Saccharomyces cerevisiae S288C: one gene and its partners. The gene in region 3 interacts genetically with the main gene of each other region. Each region holds a gene or a part of one and is shown on either strand. Other genes may lie near its edges.

Region 1 (5,145 bases), on a different chromosome or scaffold from region 3:
TACTTTTTTGCACAAATTAGTGGAGGTATTAAGTGACTACTTAAAAACCGTTGAAGAAGAATCTATTAGAGATAATTTTGTTATAATATATGAATTACTGGACGAAGTGATGGATTATGGTATACCACAGATCACAGAAACTAAGATGCTGAAACAGTACATAACACAAAAATCCTTCAAACTAGTTAAATCCGCCAAGAAGAAGAGGAATGCTACTAGACCACCCGTCGCACTAACAAATTCAGTCAGTTGGAGGCCAGAAGGCATCACTCACAAGAAAAATGAAGCCTTTCTGGATATCGTCGAATCTATTAATATGCTCATGACTCAAAAAGGTCAAGTTTTGAGATCAGAAATTATCGGCGATGTTAAGGTTAACTCAAAATTGTCTGGTATGCCTGATCTGAAATTAGGTATTAATGATAAAGGCATTTTCTCCAAATATTTGGATGATGATACAAATATCCCATCAGCGAGCGCGACAACATCCGATAATAACACAGAAACTGATAAAAAACCATCAATAACATCATCATCGGCCACAAACAAGAAGAAAGTTAATATTGAATTGGAAGATTTGAAATTTCATCAATGTGTCCGATTAAGCAAATTCGAGAATGAAAAAATTATAACGTTTATACCTCCTGATGGAAAGTTCGATTTAATGAACTACAGACTATCTACTACGATAAAACCGTTAATTTGGTGTGATGTAAACGTTCAAGTTCATTCGAATTCTAGAATTGAAATTCACTGTAAGGCCAAGGCCCAAATTAAAAGAAAATCTACTGCAACTAATGTAGAGATATTGATACCGGTCCCGGACGACGCGGATACACCGACTTTTAAATATTCACACGGGTCTCTAAAGTATGTCCCTGAAAAAAGTGCAATCTTATGGAAAATAAGAAGTTTTCCCGGTGGTAAAGAGTACTCAATGTCTGCCGAATTGGGACTGCCTTCAATATCAAATAACGAGGATGGCAATAGAACAATGCCAAAAAGTAACGCGGAAATCTTGAAGGGACCTGTCCAAATCAAATTTCAAATACCCTACTTTACTACTTCAGGTATTCAAGTACGTTATCTTAAAATTAACGAACCCAAATTGCAGTATAAGAGTTACCCATGGGTAAGATATATCACGCAAAGTGGTGATGATTATACAATAAGGCTGACGTAATGTCTGAAAAATATATAAAAAAAGCAATTTCTACGGTGCATGGACAAAGACACAGGGTACGTATGTCCTTATTCCTCTTTTTCTCCCCCCTCCCATTGACAATTATGATAATGACATAAAGTTGTTTATATATTTTTGTTTTTATATAGATGCTCATTCAGGGTTTGTTATATACATAGACATAAGAGAATAACTTTTTTTCTTTCTGTATTTCATTTTATTGTTTATAATGTTTTCCTCTACCAAGAAAATAGGGAGAAATGGAAGATAAAGAAACACTCTCCTCTATTCCTGTTGATATTCAGATTCAGGCTCGCTGTCGTTTGAGTTCGAGTCTATGCCTGATTCTCCGTTGTCATCGTCGTCAGAACCATCACTTGAAGTAGAGTTCTGTGCTTTTTCCTCGGCTTCCACTTTTAATTCATGCAAGATATCAAAACATTCTGCTAATAAAGCATTCAATATACCTTGGCCTTCAGGTATATTGCCATCAGAGTCATAGAATATACCTTCAGTTCTCAGGTTGTCCAATGAAGCCAATTTCATTTGATAAGGGTATAACTCTCTTTCATTATTCACACCTCCCATTCTTTTCAATTCTAATAGGCAACGACGAACTGTAGATAGTTGATTGTGAATTGGCTGCAACGCTTCAGATACGGGCTCTGAACTTTCCAACAGTTTATAAATTATGGCATAACATCTACGCAACAGGTATAAAAGTATTGATTGCCCCTTTGAGTCCTGAGATTTTGTTGGAAACTTACCATTGATTCTTTTGTTATCAATTTCGTTCAATTTTTTTTGGTAAGAAAATAAATCGGTTTCTCTCAAAGTCCATCTTCTTGTGATCATTAAATTTTCTAAGGTAGTCTTTATATCAATCAGCTGTTCATATATTGGCTGTAAATATGGATCTAAAGTCAACCCGCCATTTTTTTGGTGTGATAAATCGTTAACTAAATCATGGCAATCATCCAATAAACCATTAAGGACACTTTGGCCTTTTTCTGCCACCTGATGAGACTCCAAGGACTTGAATTTACCAGAATCGTCACGATTAGATTCTAATTCACTTAATTCGTTCTTCAAAACTGATAATTTCTCATGGACATACTCTTGAGATACTAAATGTTTGTCATCCGTTAAGCTTTCATTGTTCGTTTGCAAATCATTTTGTTCCTGCAATAAAGAGTTGGTATTAATATCAGATTTAGACATTGTTTTTTTAGCAGATGCAACTAATGACAATAAACCTCTTCTAATTCGGAATAACTTTTCCATTACAGTAGACAAAGACGGATCAATTTCCTCCAATTTGCCTTCCAATATATCATATTCGTCCTTGCAATGCTTTAATTTAGCACGTAGTAATAGGTCTTCCTCAATTTTATTCTTTTTCCTTTCGTTGTCGATTTCCCTTAATCGGTCATCATTTCCATCCTCATCGTACGCAGGACTAGAGTTTTTTTGTTCGACAATCTTGCTGATTTCTTCCAGCCTTTCCTTAATAGGACTCAAATCGTGATGGGTGAAGACGTTTGATTCATTTAAATGTTCCAAAAGACTCTCCACAGTAGATAACGATGCATAAGTCGCAGGTGCAGAATTTTTTAGCCCAACAGTTAAAAAACACAACGAGAGCAATTGAAAGACATCATCCAGTACGGAGTCAACTCTATTATGCAATTCAGTACTATGAATCAGGGTGGCGGCGCTCTTAGCGGGCGTCTCATGACTATTCTTCCTAATATCGTCCAACTCTCTGACTTTGGTCAAGACGTGTTGGTAAGTAGTTTGGACATCCTTAGAGTTCAAATACTGGGTCCTATTTTGCTTGAGTTTAGCCAAGGAGGATCTCACTTCAAGGAGGTAGTTTAATATGGATTCCTCTTCCTTAGGAACAATTTGAGGGTGTTGTTGTCCAGCGGATGCAAACATGCTCTTTTTAGACAGTTATTCTCTTCTAATACAATTTCAGCGTTTTAAAAATTGGGAAAGTCCTCGAAGATTTAGTAGTTCTTTTCCTTTGCTTTTGTTTGTTTTTAAACCGATATTTGCTGCTAAACTTCTTAAAGAGATTTGCTCTTCTGGTGTACTCTCTTATTCGTTATCATTTCTGAAAATTCCCCTTTCCGTGATGCGGGTAATACTAGGTCCCTTACCCGACGACAAGAAATTAAAAAATGACGCAAAATATTCATTTATGAACTATTTTATTATAACTTGTATAGGAATAATAATGTAGTGATGTAAATTTATGGGCCCCATTAAGCCATCAAAAATGGAATGTATGCCTATGCTCCTCTTCTGACATAACTGGCCAGAGGCGGGACCTTAGCGGAGGGACCATTGCTGAATCACAAATTCTCTCCACTTCCTTATTTTCCTTCATATAATAAGACATAAAAAACTTGTATATTATTAGGTATTTAGCTCGTTTATTTAGGACCTAGCATGTGTTCAGGAACAACCCATTCATCAAATTCCTTTTCAGTCAATACACCCAATTCCAATGCACTTTCCTTCAAGGTAATGCCCTTCTTATGAGCATTCTTGGCGACCTTGGAAGCGGCATCATAACCGATCTTAGGGTTCAAAGCGGTGACTAACATTAAAGATTTAGTCAACAACTCATGAATACGAGGCTCATTGGCTTTGATACCTTCAACACAGTGCACTCTAAATGAATATGCGGCATCAGTAATTAACCTGATCGAATTCAATAGATTGGCGATCATGACTGGCTTGAAGACATTTAACTCGAATTGACCTTGAGAGCCGGCAAACGTGATAGCTGCATTGTTACCCATGACTTGCACACACACTTGAGTCAATGCCTCGTTTTGGGTTGGGTTAACTTTACCAGGCATGATTGAGGAACCTGGTTCATTCTCTGGCAGCATTAGTTCATGGTAGCCGCAACGTGGCCCGGACCCTAAGTATCTTATATCTTGCGCTATTTTGAAAAGAGAACAAGCAAGGGTGTTTAGAGCACCGCTACATTCGACAATGGCGTCGTGAGCAGCCAAAGCCTCGAACTTATTAGGGGCGGTTTGAAACTTTAGTCCAGTTTCTTTGGAAATTTGCTCGGCTATCTTGACATCGAATCCGGGCTTGGTGTTCAACCCTGTACCAACGGCAGTACCACCTTGTGCCAGGAAACTCAATGTTTTCAAAGAATGTGCCACTCTTTGGATACCGTTCTCAACTTGTTGCACGTAACCGGAAAACTCTTGACCTAGTGTCAAAGGCGTGGCATCTTGCAAGTGTGTTCTACCGATCTTCACAATATGGTCAAATTCCTTGGATTTGGCTTCAAGGGCGTTCTTTAAATTGGTCAACTCAGGTATCAACTCGTTTTGAATTTGCAAACTGGCAGCGATATGCATGACAGTGGGGAAAGTATCATTGGATGATTGAGATTGGTTGCAATGATTGTTTGGATGGACTTGTTTAGATCCAATCTTGCCTCCTAGGATCTCAATGGCACGATTGGAAATAACTTCATTAGCATTCATGTTAGACTGGGTACCGGAACCCGTTTGGAAAACAACCAATGGAAAGTGGTCGTCTAGCTTACCAGAAGCCACTTCGTCAGCGGCCTGTTGAATAGCCTTGGAGATCTTGGGATCCAATCCCCCCAGAGACTCATTCACAATCGCGGCAGATTTCTTCAAAACACCAAATGCATGCACCAAAGGCAATGGCATTCTTTCACGAGCGCCACCAATCTTGAAGTTTTGAAAGGATCTTTGAGTTTGGGCACCCCAGTACTTATCAGCAGGCACGTGTATCTCACCAAATGCATCGGTTTCAGTTCTGAACGAGGAGTTCATTCTTCTTATATTAAGCTTATATGACGATTTTACGAAAGTCTTGCAACTACAATTGGTAAATCTCAACATGATTGTATCTCTTATCCGTTTAATAGTTAGACTTTATGGAATTTCTTGACGTGA
Region 2 (7,025 bases), on a different chromosome or scaffold from region 3:
ATTCCTGAACCAGTAGCCATAGGAGCAACATATTTGACTAACAGTGTACTAATTAGAGCAAATAAGACTGACAAAAGCATGAAAATTATAAAAGGGGACACATGTCCCTTCCAGGCAATCCAAAGCCCTTGTGCCTCGCATTCAAACTCTTGTCTTTTCAGTAGTAAATTGCTTGTAGAGGTAACCTCATTAACCACGCCGTTACAACAGAAGGATTTATTAAGTAGCCAGTTCCTCTGACAATGACCTGTTTTCCAGTTAACCAGAGTTTCCGTGAAGACTTGTAGGAAACCAGCAATACATCCAATAACTATGGCCGTAGAGCTTAATGTGATAAATGTTTTTGCACGGTCCCATATAACCTCTCGGTAATGTCGATATTTTGAATTAAGGAACTCCCTGTCCGAGTCTACAGACAGTGGTCTATTTTCCTCAGCAATCTTATCAATTGTAACAAATTGGTCAAAATTTTGCGTTTCTGGAATATTGGTGAATCGATTGGTGTCAATGACATCTTCACCATCCCCAATTGGTTGATTTATTGGCACATAAGTTGTTGGCATTAGTGTCAAATAATTTTATAGTATGCAAGATCAACATTCACCGCCCTTTCTATACGGTGTGCTTTTATGAAGACTGGAGAACAGGCGGTGCTTTTCCTTTTTTTATGGGTTCGAAATCGCGACATTTCTGTCCTTAATAAGTGAAAATCATATAAATCTATTTACTAATAATGATAGCCAATGTGAAGTGTTTCTTAAGAAACACGTAAAAGGCTCTTAAGAAATCTTTGAACTACAAAACCGATCTTATTTGAAATGTGTGATAAGTATCATTTTTCGGACAGCATTCGGTCCTACGGTCATGGCCATATTATAGCGTGTATTTAACAATGACTTTTGCTAAACGAAGAACAAACAAAAACAACACCGCTTCAAGAATTTTACTTGAAAACTATACTAAAAAAGGAAAGTAAATTTGTAAGTGTATATATCATAACGTAGACACTAAATTTCAGATATTACAGTGTGATCATCCATTTGAGGATCGAGGAAGCCCAGGAACTTTTGAACCGACCGCTTTGCGAAGACAGCTTTCTTTTCTGATAAGATATGTAATGAGATATCTGACTCTTCATGCAGGATTCCGATCACATAACAACCGTTAGACAAGGTACTTACTAAGAATAAGGGCATAAATGTAGATTCGCCTAAAAACGTGCTCATTCTGGAATCAGTAGTTCTTACAGAGTTGATGGTTGTAACTTGCTCAGCAACATGGTACACTCTTTCGTCTATTTCTTCCTCACCATCAAGTTTTAAACTAAATAACGTGAGCTTTTGATCACCGTACGAAATTAGTAGATACCTAATATTCTTGAAAGTTATAGCGGCTGCACCGGTAAACATTTTCCCGGTGTCGGTAATGCTATTGATGAGGTCCCTCTCAAATAAATTCAGAGGCTGTACCTGCAATTGAACCTTTTCTATGTTACCGTCTGTTGTATGGATGACATTGAACCTCATCACACCTTTCCGTACATCAAGTAAAATCATTTCTTCCAAATAAACCCATGTACCTATATTTTGCTGCTTCCTAGCCATCTTTGCCTTCCTTTTATCAAAAAATATAGATGATGTTATTGTAATACCAGAAATATTCAACCTATTTGAAACCTGTTCAATACTGAACTTGTTATCATGAACTGAATAGTTCAGTTGATAAGCTTGCACAAACTCCCCATAAACCAAAACACATCCATTGTAATAGTTATGTAACCCACTGATTGAGAACCCCGTGTTAATCCCAAAAACAAATTCAATAAAACCCGATTCCTCATCAAATGAAAACAATAATAGGTTATTCATATTTTTACTATCAATACCGTCTATTGAGTCTAAATTTAGAGACACCAAGATACATGAATTGAAAATCACTTCCTTATACAGCTCAGAAGTCTTTCTTTTTCCTAATGTTTCGGTTCTTTTGAGCATGGGTACGGCAATAATATCTGATATCATAGCGTTTTCATATTTTATACTCTCGATATCATTGTTGAGGTTAGAAAAATTGAATGCGGAAATGTTTTTGAACTGTTTAATATCATACACATAAATTTCGGAATACTTGTCCTGCAATGGATTTGCTACTGGCAGGGCCGCTACAATCACATATCTTGATGAAGATTCCAAAGTTATAAATTTGAGACATGTTTTTAAAACTTTTTCAAACTTAGAACAAAGAGTAGCCCTTCCGGCATCACCAGGAACAAGTACGTCGTAAAATTGACCTTGAGAAGTAACCATAACAACTGAGCCATCTTTTTCTCCAGGTATCAAACAGCTTATAGGACATGGTGCATATACTTCTTGGATTTTAAATCTACCTTTTATTTTACTTGGCTTGAAAAAAATTATAGTATCGGCTGTATATATAAAAAAATAATCTGAGTTAGGGACTTCACAGAACTGTAACTTCTTCTTGCAAATTTTAACCTCTTCTACGATCTCAAAAGTTGCCAATTTCATAACGCAAAGGTTTCCTTCGGTGTCAGACATGAAAATGTAGACCGTGCTTTCGTATTCATATAGGAAAATGGACGCTAAGTCAGAAAGTCTATGGAAAACTACTTTCTGGCTTTTCAAACGGTTGCAATGATCAAATACCGTTATTTCATCATTCAGAACAAGTACAGTCAAAAAAGAGCCCTTGCTAGATATAGCAGATAAAAAGCAATTATCTATAGTCAAATCAACTCCCGTGTTTTGAATCCGGTAATAAACCTTTGAAAAACTCCACCTCAGATAACCTTGTTTTGTGACGTATGCGTAATTACACTCATTATCTCTTTGAATTGGGACCAAAGTAACGATAGTGTTATCTTTCAATAGAGTTCCATCTTTAGTAGCAATGAAACTGCCATTTATTTCAAAGTCTATTCGCTCACTATCTCTGTAAACATTATTATTCACATCTGCCCAATAGATACCTTTTCTTGTAGAGTAAACTTGTCGAGGAACACTGTCTTTACTTTTGAAAAGTAGCTTCATGCAAGTGGACGCGAAAATGTCCCCACACGATCGAAATTTCAAGCACAAGTATCCCTGCCCACAGTGTAATGATCCACAAGATAAATGTGACTTGGTGTAGTTCCCTATCAAATCGGAATATAAGGTTGATTTGCAAAGAAAAGAACCAAGATGAACAAAATTACTATGCCCTTCATTTCTGACTGAATATACTGTAAGATGGCCCTTTGGGGATACCAGTATCCAACACTTCTCATTGAAAAACGCTGCAAGGTAGTGATCATGTGAGGAACCACCATTGATGGGAAGCCTCTCAAACAAGGCCTTTTCCCAGATATACGTATCGTCTTCAAAACTGCTAAGGATTGCATTCATTCTGCATGTTATTAGAATTGCAGTACTCGTCATAAATGTAAATGTTAAATGATTTAATGTGGTATCCGCTAAAATAGGCTGCAAAAGTTCGATTCTTTCCATGTTATCAGACCCAAAGGCACCAGGCCCTTGGTATATTTTGTCTACCGTTTTACCATCAATGGTCTGTTTCGATGACAATGCATGTTTAATAAAATAAGTTTTCCATGGCGTAAAAACAAAATGACCAATATTGGTGACCGATTTGAGAAGTACTTGTGAGACCGTTGCTTCCTCCACAAATGTTAAATTGGTAGTTCTTTGCCACTTCGTTCCTTTGGCTGGTTTAGACTCGAATACACACACGCATGCTTCCAACTTATATGCAACCTCATTGTGTGCACGTGTGAGAATCGACAACGTAAAGACATCCTTATCTAAGAAATCATTGAAATTGATACACGCATCTATGGATACTATCGGTGAGGATGTCACATAACTCAGCTTAACGTCTGTTTCTTCCAAACAAAAAATGTCCTCAGTAGAAATCTCGTAAATTTCAGTGCATGACAAATTAAAAACCAGAGCTGTTCGTAGTGGATCTTGGAACATGAACTTTGGCTCTGATCTTACCTGATCAATTCCTGTTTCCAGAGATTTCACTATTTTGTAATCAAGGTTGACGAAGTCCAACCGTCCCGTGGCTTTCAACAGAATATAAAATCTTCGGTTAGGTGCAGTATGATCTTTGAAATAAAAGGCTGCCATTGTATATCCGACAGTCCTAAGTCTTAACTTCTTGCGCGCTTCATCTTGTTCTACCCCTTCAAACACATCTATATATTCTAGTCCTATGACCACCAATTCTCGGCTCTGTCCTTCGAGTCCATCTTCTTCCCTAATAAAACATTTAACTACATCCGGGGGACCATCAACCTCACTTACTATAATGTTGTCAGTCATCGCTATACGAATCCTCCCTGCTGGCATGAGAAATTGGATACGCCAAGCCCTGGGCAGCCTCCTCTTTGCATCGTTTCTCTTGCTTTCATCTTTCCACTATCCAATTACCCTGACTCTCGTTCCTGTCTATCATGAGTCTCTTGTCAAGCCAACAAGTGCTTCCTTTGGAGGTATACGATTGTCTCAACTTACTATGATTATGGAGAGGAGAGCAACGCCTACGTGTCAAGACCCATCGTTAACCGAGGTCTAGCTTTAACCTTGTATCTCCTAGCACTTTTAAATAAGGCAAAAAGGGAGTAGGGTCATATCTTTCTGGGACCCTTTTTTTGTGATTGCCCCAAATAAAGGAAAAAAATGGAGGTTACAGGATTTTTTGAAGAGTCAGGTATAACCGCCCATGTGGAACAGGTAGATAGATAAATATATTCGAAGGATTGCTAGATAGGGGCAAGTTTTTGCATGCATTTCTCGACTTTAAGCAGAAAAGTACATATTTTTAAGGGCATTGGTGAAATTTACCAGGTATATCTCTCGAATACTGCGGCTGATAGGTAAAGTAAAATAGGAAATGGTTTCTTTATTTGATAAGCTTAATGCAAAAAAAGACGGTAGAGATGGATCTGTGTCGAAGGAGTTGCTATCACATTCTGTAGCCCATACTAAGAACAGGTTACCCAAATCAGGAAGGCGCACGTCGGAACGGTCCTTAGCCGCTAGTGTAAAGGACGGAAGTTGCTCAAATAGCAAAAGCAATAAGCGGAACTCTTCGGCATCCGTGTCAGGGGAAGAAGATAAATCCTGTCTAATTTCACTTAATTGCCTATGTTGTGGTGTCCCACTACGGTTTCCAGCCTCCATAACGAAATTTCGATGCAGCGCATGCCAAGTAACAGTTATTGTAAAGGAGCCGGAAATTAACAGTAATTTGGAATCTAGTACGCATATTTCGTGCACATTAGAGGGTTTGCAGATGGTAGTAAGGCGGTGCCATGATGATTTGCAGCGGCTTAAGAAGACTGGGATTCTGGATAAAGAAAGAAAGGGGTTGATTTTCCAACCGGTAATAACGTATTTACTGGACAGATTTCATGATGTTAGCATTTTAAACAGGTCGTTCTTGGTACATGATGGTGGAAAGAATATAAAGATGCTGAATTATGAAGTTTTACAAAGATTTTACAGTATATTATCAAATCTTCCTACAAGGAAACCGTATTATAGTATGCTGTGTTGCTGTAACGATCTACTGAAGAGAATAACAATCAATAAAGGGGAAAATTTGCAAATATTACAGTATCGTTGGTTGCTGATTATATTAAATATACCTACAATACGAACCTGCCTTATTAGAGATCGGAAGAGCAAAAATGTGTTTGAGACCCAACAAATAAGGGCGGTGTCTTATGAGTTGGCCAAACGATGTATTGGCTACTTGTCTAACCTATCAACAAAAACATCTCAACAATTGATTCAATCATTACGGCGAACGCCTACGGATAATTTTTCATACCAGGTAGAGATTTTAAATTTATACATCAATTTCCAATTTTCCAGATTACTGTCGAACGAATTATCAAATAGAACCGCAAAAAATAACGTGAAGCCTGAAGATGAGATGCGATCTCGTCTTCGTCGGCATCACACTACTGGCCATGAATTCCTGAGTACTAGACCAATAAGTGCACAATCAAATGATAAACAGGGAAGTGGTTTCACGCATCCCGTCAATAATAAGATGAAATTTAAATTTTTTCAATATGAGGAAGACTGGCATATTCACTCTGCAGCAAAATTGACGTTCATCTATTATGTAGCCAATACTAGAAGAAATGGCCGTGGAGCGTTGTCAATTCAAAGCTTTTACAATATAACGCTAGACTTCATAGATTATAAACAAGATTTCGATCATTGGAGAGGAGTAGCTCAAAAGACAAAAATGAATCAACTGATTGAAGAGTGGGGAAATTCGACGACAAAAAAATGTTTTTCATTCTGTAAGTATCCATTTATATTGTCACTCGGCATCAAAATCTCTATTATGGAGTATGAAATTCGCAGAATCATGGAACATGAAGCTGAACAGGCTTTTTTAATTTCACTGGATAAAGGCAAATCCGTAGACGTTTATTTCAAAATCAAAGTACGGCGTGACGTTATTTCTCATGATTCATTGAGATGTATCAAGGAACATCAAGGCGATTTATTAAAATCGCTGAGAATAGAGTTTGTTAATGAACCTGGAATTGATGCGGGAGGGTTGAGAAAAGAATGGTTTTTCTTATTAACAAAATCGCTGTTTAATCCGATGAATGGCTTATTTATTTACATAAAAGAAAGCTCACGTTCATGGTTTGCCATTGACCCTCCAAATTTTGACAAATCAAAAGGAAAAAACTCACAACTGGAATTATATTACTTGTTTGGAGTTGTCATGGGGTTGGCGATTTTCAACAGTACCATATTAGATTTACAATTTCCAAAGGCGCTTTATAAAAAACTATGCTCAGAGCCTCTGAGTTTTGAAGATTACTCGGAATTGTTTCCGGAGACAAGTAGGAACTTAATAAAAATGCTCAATTACACAGAGGATAATTTCGAAGACGTCTTTTCTTTAACATTTGAGACTACGTATCGAAATAACAACTGGATTTTAAATGACAGTAAATCGAGCAAAGA
Region 3 (5,076 bases):
CAAATATAATTCCATTTGAAAAATTCTTTTTCTATGGAATTCTGAATGCAAGATTAACAAGGAAAACTCAAATAAAATTCAAAGGTAAATTGGTGCCGTCAAAATATTGGTGGGATTTTTTGAAGTTGCAAGTGCCATTGATGACAGATGCTCAGTTAGAATTACTTGACATTCATGCGTGGTTTCAAAAATTAGTCTCTAATTATGCACCACATCTAAGCGATGCCACCACTTCATAAAATCACGTAAATACAGATAGAAAACACATTGAGGCAACAGGAATGAAAATGCACCCTACTACTCTCTGAACCACCATATGATAATATTCCAATCTATTGTGCTTAACATTAAAATTGTTCAAACTTGGTATAAGCAACAAGTGGGAGAATTAGGTGTACCTCAAATTTTTGAAAAAGCACAGAGTGTTACTAAAAATTTTAATATGTATGTATATCCTTTTCTAGCCGTCAAAAGTGTAAGTAATTTCGAAAAAATAGATTCTATTTCAGTAAGTCAGAGATTCGAGTCGCCTCCCGTCTTCCGCTTTCCCAAGCACCATAGGCACAGCCGGCGCCGTCCATGATAGTATGTTCGCCTGCAAATCTTATGCGGGAGTCTTGACCATTAGACATTGCAACAACCATATCAACTGGATCATCTCCTGGAAAACAGGCCGAATAAGCACCGCGTGAGTAAGGATCGCGTGTCCAGTTGCTAACGATGATGTTTCTTAAGACTGGTTTATTAGCGTTTGCAATGTTTTCTATCGGCCTCATTCCGTCGATGACATCCTCAGAATCTAGACACTTCATAATCTTGTTCAGCACAGGTTGGAAAAAACTAAAAAGACGCTCTTTATCTTCTCTAATGGATTCTATGTGATTTGTAAGCGGTGCCTGCATCAACATCATAAAGCTTGCTACTCCTGTGCTTTTTGACAAATTTACGAAAAATAAAGGCTGGCTCCAACAAGTAACACTCGTATGCTTTTGAGAATCTTCCCTTTCTAGCATAGAGTCTAATTCATCTAAATTTTCCGCATTACGTACTATTTCGACAAATTCATTGGTAGAGTTAGCCAAAGTTACAATTTTTGAACTTTCGTTCGACCAACAACATTCTTCAAACTCAAAAATTACTTTACCTAGCGCTCCAAAATGGATCTTGTCAAAAGCATCTTGAATCACTGGTTTCAAGGGTGGTTGAAATTCTATTCTTCCCCGTAAATTTTTTTCAGGTTGTACAGACAAATTCAATACACTTTGAGGTACTGTAATAATAACATAATCAGCATTGTACACAGTACCATCTTCACAGTTCACTGTCACATTTTTTGAAGGTTCTCGTGTAATTGATTTCACTTCACAACTTAGCTTTAACCAATTTTGAGGAAAGCTTTGAGCAATTCTTTGAACCACAGAATCATAGTTCAAAGCAAAGGCGTTCCTTCCTTGGTGACCGAAGTATGTATCCTTGGCACTCAAAAGCTTCCAATCTAAGCCGTGCCACAATTCCAGATATCGACAGAGTTGTGGCAAATATCTTATTTGGTCATTTGTGAGAAATTGGCGTCTTTGTAGTAAGTATTTCATTACTAATTGAAAAAAGGAGCAATCTGAAACTCCTAAGTGTTGATGGAATTCTAACTCTGCGAATTTGCTCATTTCATTGTCCACAATTTCAAGAAGCAGTTCCTTGTCATGGTCTACCCTTCCACGTTCTTCGTCGATATAAATAAAATTATCGTCATCAAAAACAAACCTCGTTCTCCCATCATTCAAACTCAGTTGAGCCTCTTCCAAAAATAAAGGGTTTGTCAACGTATCATGGTGCCAGCTAGCACCTATATCATATTTCCGACCTTGATAGCCTGTGACAGTTTGCAACCTACCACCGACCCGATCTCTGGCCTCAAGAACAAGACAATCTTGAATACCGTTTTGGTGTAGCGTAGATGCAGCTTTAAGCCCAGCAATACCGGCACCAATTATAATAACCTTTTTTTTGGCTGGTGAAACTGTATTCATTCTCACACGACCACTGTTTTTGCCTTTATTAACTCACTTCTTGTTGGGAACAAAAAAAGAAAAACAGAAATAAAAAACTGCAGCAGAGCAAATTTGAAAATAGTTACCATGGTTTAAAAAAACTCCTCTTTTATATCTTTAGGATACCAAAAATTGTCTATTGTTTAAAAGATCTCATAGCGTGACATCCGTATATGGGTGGGTGACCCGAAATTTGAGCCTCCTTCTTGTAAAACGAGAGTTTGTCATAGCAACGGACCAACATGTGGTAAGGTGAGGTTGACTCAATTTTTTCAACATCTTATATACAATATAATAATATGTAGGTAAACGTGTCCATAAAATGGTTTTATGGAATAGAAAAAGAATCCTTATGCAAAATTTTGGTCAAACCATAATAAATTGGAAAATAAATCATCATCAAACACATTAGGAGAGTTCCCTATTTTACTGACAGTATCAAGAACATCTGAGGGCAATCCAGTATCAGTACCTAGATTTGCTACTGCACTTTCCGGAGAAATTGCGATTGAACCGTCGAAGTTAGTGGTATTATGAGACCTAGTAGCTAATGGTACTCTTTTGCTATTGTTATGTGGATTTTCTTGTCTTTCATCAGCATTTTCTTCTCTTTCACCAGCATCAACTTCAACATCCGCATCATTATCGCCAACTTTCTTGAACTGCTCAAACTTATTTCTATTAGGGGTGTCATCACCATGATCAGTTCCGAGAGTAGCTTCCAATTGCAAAGCAGAATCTCTCAGTCGTATGCAGAACATATGATTCAGCATTTTCAAACACCACAAGCACTCAGGAAGCATTGAAGGCCGATTTTTTGGCTTAGAGCACTCTAAGGTTCGCCATATTTCTTGGCAGCTTTGCATGATAGCTTTATTTTGAGTTACGGCAATCCCTGCGTGCAGGTAGATAATACATATTAAATTTACCGTGAATAGTTGAGAAAGGTTTAACCACCACGGAACAAAGAAAAGATTACTTCTCGTAATTTCAGCCAAATTTTCAATAGCCATTTGACAATGAGAAATTAACAATTCAGTATCGACGACATATTCTAGGGATTTATTATTTGCGGTAGATGAGGGGGCGATTAGACAAAATAATTGTCTTACTTCGAAAGTCAGCCTTATATCCAGGTATGTCATGAATGGTTGAACTTGATAGAAGTAACGATAATTGTCGTCGTACGCATTGGTTTGACTTCCAACTATAAAGGTGTCATACCATTGACCAAGTTGGCTGCGCAATTGCACGGTCTCGTTCAAATTTAAATCCTGTGCGTCTCTTTTTAAAAACTGTGTCACTATTATGGACAAATCAAGCATTTGAAAAGTCTCTTCGTGAAACCAATCATCTTCTTCTTGTAAAAATTTCTTTGACTTCACTAGATTCATCTGTTCGCACATCTCGCTCGCGGGTAATGATAGTTGGTAGAATCGACCCATTTGAAAACTTATCAACTTATCCATTATAAAACAACACCAGAAACAATGCCATGCTTTTGATTCATCATAAGTGGAATGGATCTCAGGAAATTTGTTTAAATATAGACTCATCCCATTACACATGTTCACCGCTTGACTTAACGCGTTCCAGCACGCCGTCTGTCTGTAACAGGTTCTGAAATAGAAGGTTATCAAAAGCCACGATTGTATTAGTTCGAATGATTCCCACTCAAAGGTCAGCGTGTTGATTATTAAATAAGCGTATTTGAATAAATTTTCCTCTATGGAGGGTTTTTTGATCAAAATAGATTTTTCCTCGAATGTGATATTTAAGGATGTGTTACTGTAGGTTCCTTGCCCTTTCTGACCATCTAGATGCCCTTCTCTGAATCTTAGTGTAGTAGACAAAATTAGATAAAGCATGGAAGTGAATAGATTCGCAGATGAATTATTTTGTTTACCTTGCCGTAGAAATTTATTGTTATATTGCTGCCAAAATGTCGCTTCGTGAATGATACTGAAAACAGGATTGATCTCATCAAAATAATACCTTAGTAACTTATTGATTAAGGATAAGTGAACAGGGTCATCAAAGTCGAAAAATTTAGACTCATGCCTTATATTTTTTTCTTGGCTTCTAAAGTCACCCTTATACTTTAAGTAATGGCCTCCTGACAAGTTCCAACCATAGTTTTGAACTCTTGGCCTTTTCAACTTCGCGTACTCTATTGTCTGCGGAGATAGATCCTTTAAAATAGATACACCAAGGTAATAGGGCAGAATATTTTGGTAGCGTCGGTGAAACCTATACTTATCTAAAGAAAATGTCTGCCAGGGTGATTCAAAGTGATCATTAACAGTGTTAGTTATTTGAGAGTTGATTATCTTATTCTCTTTAGAATTGATGTTGTTATTATGAAGAGCCTCTGCAGAGTCACATATTGCAGACCTGTGATTCGTGTCACAGTCTTCCTGACTATTTTTCATGTTGACCACTGTCGGGTTTGCATTCACATCACTAGCATTGGTTCTAGTTGTTCTAATTGACGATTCCTTGGTCGTATTCCCCAATTTTGAACTCAATTGCAGAAGTAATTTAGCCATGTGATCCTCCGGAAAACTGTTATTGTTATTTTCTCCATTTAAGTTGCTTCCGGAATGGAATGTATGGTTTGGCCTACCGCTCATGAAGGGTAAAGTGGATGATATATGATGATAATGTGAATTTGGATTGGGAGAGTTGCTAGCAGACGAAGATACACCATCTGAGGGGGCATTTATGATAATATTTGATTTACTTAACAAGTCCCTAGGAAAAGACTCACTGGTTTCTGCATATGTCTTACTAACGTCCCGAACAGCTGATGCGACCTGTCGTCTTCTTCTTTTACGGTTTGTAGCTTTGAAATCATAACGGCATTCTTTTTGATGTTTAGAGCAGTTCAGACAAGGATTGTTACCGTCGCATTTAACCTTTCTCTTCTTGCAAAGTTCACAAGCTTTTTGAACCCTGAGTCTACCTTTTCCATTTTCTTTACTTGCGGCTGTACTAGTATCAAGTGCATCATCAGTATTCCCGATAG
Region 4 (4,625 bases), on a different chromosome or scaffold from region 3:
GCCCCACTAGTAATCACCTGCATCTATATAAGATAAGATGAAGACCTTTTACGTATCTTGAAAAACTATACAATAGCAAAGAAACCTACCACCCAGACCCTGTGCGGAGTATCTCGAACTTCCAGTATATTACTCTCAAGTAGATGACGCGTAATAGACAGGTTTTATTGGCAAATTTCGAGTCGCTATCATTATCAACATTAATTATAGGGTGGTGTTTGGTTGGTTCGAGTGCCGTCATAACTATTTGTTTTTTTTGCATATCTGGTTGATCCTCCTTAGTTAATATAGTCTCTTTGAGTTTCCCTTAAGGAACTGTCATTTGGTCCGGCGGAAAACATGGTGGTGACAGACAGCCTTTTCAGAGGTGATGAGCAATCTCGATGAGCATCTCAGCGGGTGCATATATACACGTATATAAGATAGTTCAAAGTATGATAGATTAAAGTTTACTTTGTTGTTGCTGAGAAGTAGTGAGAGTGTCAGCAAATCAATACAATGAAAAACATGTCACAACGATCCATGGACGTGGAGAAGAAGGCAGCTAACGCTGATAGTTGTTCCGTAAGTACCTCGAGCATTAATGTAGACGATGCGGACGTTGCTTTAAGATTCCTGAAACAGAACGGTCTCGACGAAAGCTCCACGGCTAATGAAGACGATGTTGTAGCAGGCGAAGAAGCCAACTTCTATGGTTCCCATGAATTATCTCCTAAGGTCCTGAGAAAAGTTGACCTCTTCATCCTGCCCTTTTTATGCTGTACATATCTTCTGATGTTTTTGGATAAGGCTCTGCTGAACTACGCTGCATCTATGGGTATCAAAGATCATTTGAAAGGTAACGAATTTTCTAATTTGGGTACTATCTTTTCTGCTGCTTACATTTTCATGGAACCTGTGGTCACTTACTTAATTCAAAAATTCCCCATTTCCAAAATCCTAGGTACTTTTATTACCGTCTGGGGTATCGTGTTGGCTTGCCATGCTGCTTGTAAGACGTACGCCTCGTTGATGGTCGTTCGTACTCTCCTAGGTCTCTTTGAATCCTCGAGTGCAGTTGGTTGTATCGCTATTAGTGGTATGTACTATACTAAATCTGAACAGAGTGCAAGAATTGGATTCTGGGCCACACAGGCTGGTACAGGTTATATTGTGGGCGGGTTAATTTCTTTTGGCTTTTTACATTATCATGGTACCGCTTTCACCTCTTGGCAAATAATGTTTTTGGTCGTTGGTCTGGTTACAGTTGCGTTTGGTGTTCTAACATTCTTATACCTTCCAGATAACGTCACCAATGCTTGGTTCCTAAACAAAGAGGAAAAAATTCAAGTTGTTGAGCATATCAGAGCTAACCAAACTGGCCTGGAAACAAAGAAGTTTAAGAAGCAGCAAGTTAAAGAACTATTCCTTCATGATAAGTTTACTTGGCCGATGCTTTTATTAACTGCATGTTCTCAAATTTCTACTGGTGCCATTGGTACATTTTCAGTGACCATCACTGGTACTTTTGGTTTCGACAAGTACGAAACAGCATTACTGCAGTTGCCTATTGGTGCCATTACGGCTATGATTATTCTTATAACAACTCAAATGTTGTCCCGCTGGGGTCATATCACACTCATAACCACATCTATGTATATTCCAGCTATTATAGGTTGTATCGTTCTTATCAGTTTACCCTTATCCCATAAGATCGGTAACTTATTTTCTCTGTACTTGCTTTACAGTGGTTCCTGTGTCATTACCAATATTTACATCTGGAATTCATGCAACACCTCCGGTTACACCAAAAGAGTTTTTAGAAATGCTATTACAATGATTGTATACAATGTCTCCTGTATTATTGCTCCACAGATGTTTAGGGCATACTCTGCTCCACGTTACATACCAGCAAAGATTGCCTTATTGGTCACTCAGTGTGTTTGTGTTCCCCTACAATTATACATTGGCTACATTTGCAAGAAGGAGAACGAAAAGCGTGATAAGGAACAAGAAGGTCAAGAAAGGAAGAAGTACCAATTTTTGGACTTGACTGATATCGAAAACAGAAATTTCAGGTACATTTACTAATAATCAACTTTTAATTTACAATATATAATATTTTTAGTCTGTAATATTCAATATTCAAAGACACCCAAACATTCATTGCACTTGGTATTTACCAAAAAATTGAAGAGAAAATTTTTGAGATGACCATGGATGAGGCAATGAAAGTCGAAATTTGATCCCCGCTACTAACTTCTAAACATATCGTCAGGACAATTGAGCTGAAAATGTCTAATCCAGATGATTTAGATGATGGACTCGCCTATGATTTTGATGCCGAACATGAAGTAATTTTTGACGCCAAGGATGGTAGTCCCCCAACCAAAAAGGTACAAAAGAGGTCTATAGAACAAGATGACGATGACGTTGATGATATAGATGGGAAAAAAGAGGAGAGAAATTCAGAAGATGATTCGAATAGACCTATTTCGAAAAGACAGAAAAAGCTACAGAAAAAATCAAAGCTAATTGAGAAAAAGAAAGAGGAAAGCCAGTATATCGTCTCACAACGAAAAGCACTTCCAGCAAGTTCACCAGAAAAAATTATTGAGTACCTAACAACTTTGATACGAGAAAAAAATCCTGACTTGAGTGTTTTAGAATTAGAGGAACTTTACTTCAAAAGAAATGATTTTCTTTCGACAGAAAAATTTGACGCTGAACGCAGATTAAGCAATTTCCCAGCCTTTATTCAAAAATTTTCCGTAGCTCCAAAAAAAATTGTTTTTTCTATGTCTAATATTAGAGTAGCAGACGTTTATCGTAGTCTAAACGGTGGCAAAAATTGCGTCAAATTATTCTCTAAAAGTAAACTAAAGGATGACATAGCCACCGTGGAACGTTTACTTACTGACAGCTCTAAAAAATCAAACAAAAATAAAGATTCACTATATTTTATTGCCACTCCAACAAGAATGCAGAAAATTATAGAAGCTACTGACTTACTTTTCCAAGGTAAGGAAAAGTTAGATATCATTCTTGATGCAAGTTATTTAGATCCTAAGGATAATACTATATTATCATTCGAGAATGCAGCCGTCCTCTGCCAAGTCTTGAAAACCTTTTTGAATAAAAAAAGCTCCGTGAAAATACTGTTATATTAATAATAGCGCTTTTTCACTGAGGTTCTACACATAAGATTACGTTTTTAAATACCAGCCTTAATTTAGTATATTAAATATTTCATTCTAGCATTTGATGGGGTACTTCAAATTATCTTCTTTAAATTGTCCAAAGCCCTTCCAAAAAGTAAAATCAAAGGAGAAACTTCGAGAACGCCTAGGCGCGCAGCAAACTCCATATATAACAATGTATTTTTTCTTTAACTACATAAAACCAATTTATCCTATTTTACTCTTTCCATGGAGTGTATGCTTTTTTGTAGTTACTTAGATTCAGAAATTCAATGTCTTCCCTCATTTTCTTCACCGTAGAGTAGACCATGGGACGTCGTTTTACTTTAGTTTTTGAATTTTTTCAGCGATGCCCGAAAACTGAAAATTTTATCTCATCTCATTCACCTGCCTGCCATATATAGTATTTTCATGGTATAAACTTGGCATTTTATGTCTTCAATCATAAGAGTATAATTCCGGGATAAAAGCTGGAGATATCATAGTAATAATGGCTAAGAGAAATAGATCTCAATTTCGCATTCAGGAAAGGACTGCAAAGAAAAGAAAGCACGAAGATTCCTTGTTAGAAGGCAATGTTTTCCAAAATGCACCGGAAGATATGGATGAAAATACCATATATAGCGCAAAAGGCTCATCCTGGGATGAAGAAGAACAGGATTACGAAATGGTTCCTCGGAAGAATCGGTCTGATACATCAAATCTTGTTGAAGGCCTGCCTATAAAAGTTAACGGTAAAGTTGAAAGAAAATTGCATAAAGCCCAAGAAAAACCAAAGGACGATGATGAGGAAGACGAAGACTCTAATGACTCTTCAGAAGATGATGAGGGACCTAATGAAGAACAAGAAGCAGAGGCAAAGGAGGATGAGCCTGATACGGAGGAAAAAATTCTGCAACTAAAAGAAGACATTGCCGATTTAGTCACTAAAGTTATGGAGGAGCCTGAAGAAAATACTGCTGCGTTGGGGCGTCTATGTAAAATGGTGGAATCTAAAAATCCTAATACTTGTAAGTTTTCCATGTTGGCTTTGGTCCCCGTGTTTAAGAGTATCATACCAGGCTATAGAATTCGACCACTAACTGAAACTGAAAAGAAGGAAAAAGTTTCTAAAGAAGTCTCCAAGCTTAGAAACTTTGAGCAAGCCTTAGTTTATAACTACAAAAATTACGTCGGAAGATTACAGAGTCTTTCAAAAACTCCCAGTAATGCTGCTCCTATACAGGTTTCATTAGGGATTTTGGCCACTCAAGCCGCAAAAGAATTGATTTCAACGGCATCCCATTTCAACTTTAGAACAGACATTTTCACTTTACTGTTGCGTAGAATTTGTAAACCAAGAATTTCAACAGATCCAACTTCCATTCAAATAATCCAGACATTTGAAACTCTATTAAATGAGGACGAAGAGGGCTCAATATCATTCGAGATACTAAGAATTTTCAA

The links.
Region 1: mutations in FMS1 (region 3) and CUB1 together harm fitness more than expected from each alone (negative genetic interaction), as found in Saccharomyces cerevisiae (2 studies listed by BioGRID).
Region 2: mutations in FMS1 (region 3) and MLO127 together harm fitness more than expected from each alone (negative genetic interaction), as found in Saccharomyces cerevisiae (2 studies listed by BioGRID).
Region 4: mutations in FMS1 (region 3) and CMS1 together harm fitness more than expected from each alone (negative genetic interaction), as found in Saccharomyces cerevisiae (2 studies listed by BioGRID).

Annotation. Positions count from the first base shown.
Region 1 is NC_001148.4:47,282-52,426, reverse strand, and holds CUB1 (Cub1p), read right to left. Parts: upstream 3,125-5,145; coding exon 1,469-3,124; downstream 1-1,468. Other genes in the region: APM1 (Apm1p), read left to right, coding at 1-1,183; YPL261C (uncharacterized protein), read left to right, coding at 3,123-3,431; fumarase FUM1, read right to left, coding at 3,625-5,091. UniProt on the Saccharomyces cerevisiae protein: Involved in bleomycin tolerance with links to DNA repair and/or proteasome function.
Region 2 is NC_001142.9:501,284-508,308, reverse strand, and holds MLO127 (Mlo127p), read right to left. Parts: upstream 4,374-7,025; coding exon 1,008-4,373; downstream 1-1,007. Other genes in the region: GEF1 (Gef1p), read right to left, coding at 1-563; putative E3 ubiquitin-protein ligase HUL4, read left to right, coding at 4,918-7,025.
Region 3 is NC_001145.3:312,328-317,403, reverse strand, and holds FMS1 (polyamine oxidase), read right to left. Parts: upstream 2,028-5,076; coding exon 501-2,027; downstream 1-500. Other genes in the region: MAC1 (Mac1p), read left to right, coding at 1-239; STB4 (Stb4p), read right to left, coding at 2,399-5,076. UniProt on the Saccharomyces cerevisiae protein: Involved in the production of beta-alanine, a precursor of pantothenic acid. Multicopy suppressor of fenpropimorph resistance.
Region 4 is NC_001144.5:155,379-160,003, reverse strand, and holds CMS1 (Cms1p), read left to right. Parts: upstream 1-2,273; coding exon 2,274-3,149; downstream 3,150-4,625. Other genes in the region: THI73 (Thi73p), read left to right, coding at 499-2,070; NOC3 (Noc3p), read left to right, coding at 3,670-4,625. UniProt on the Saccharomyces cerevisiae protein: May play a role in the regulation of DNA replication and cell cycle control.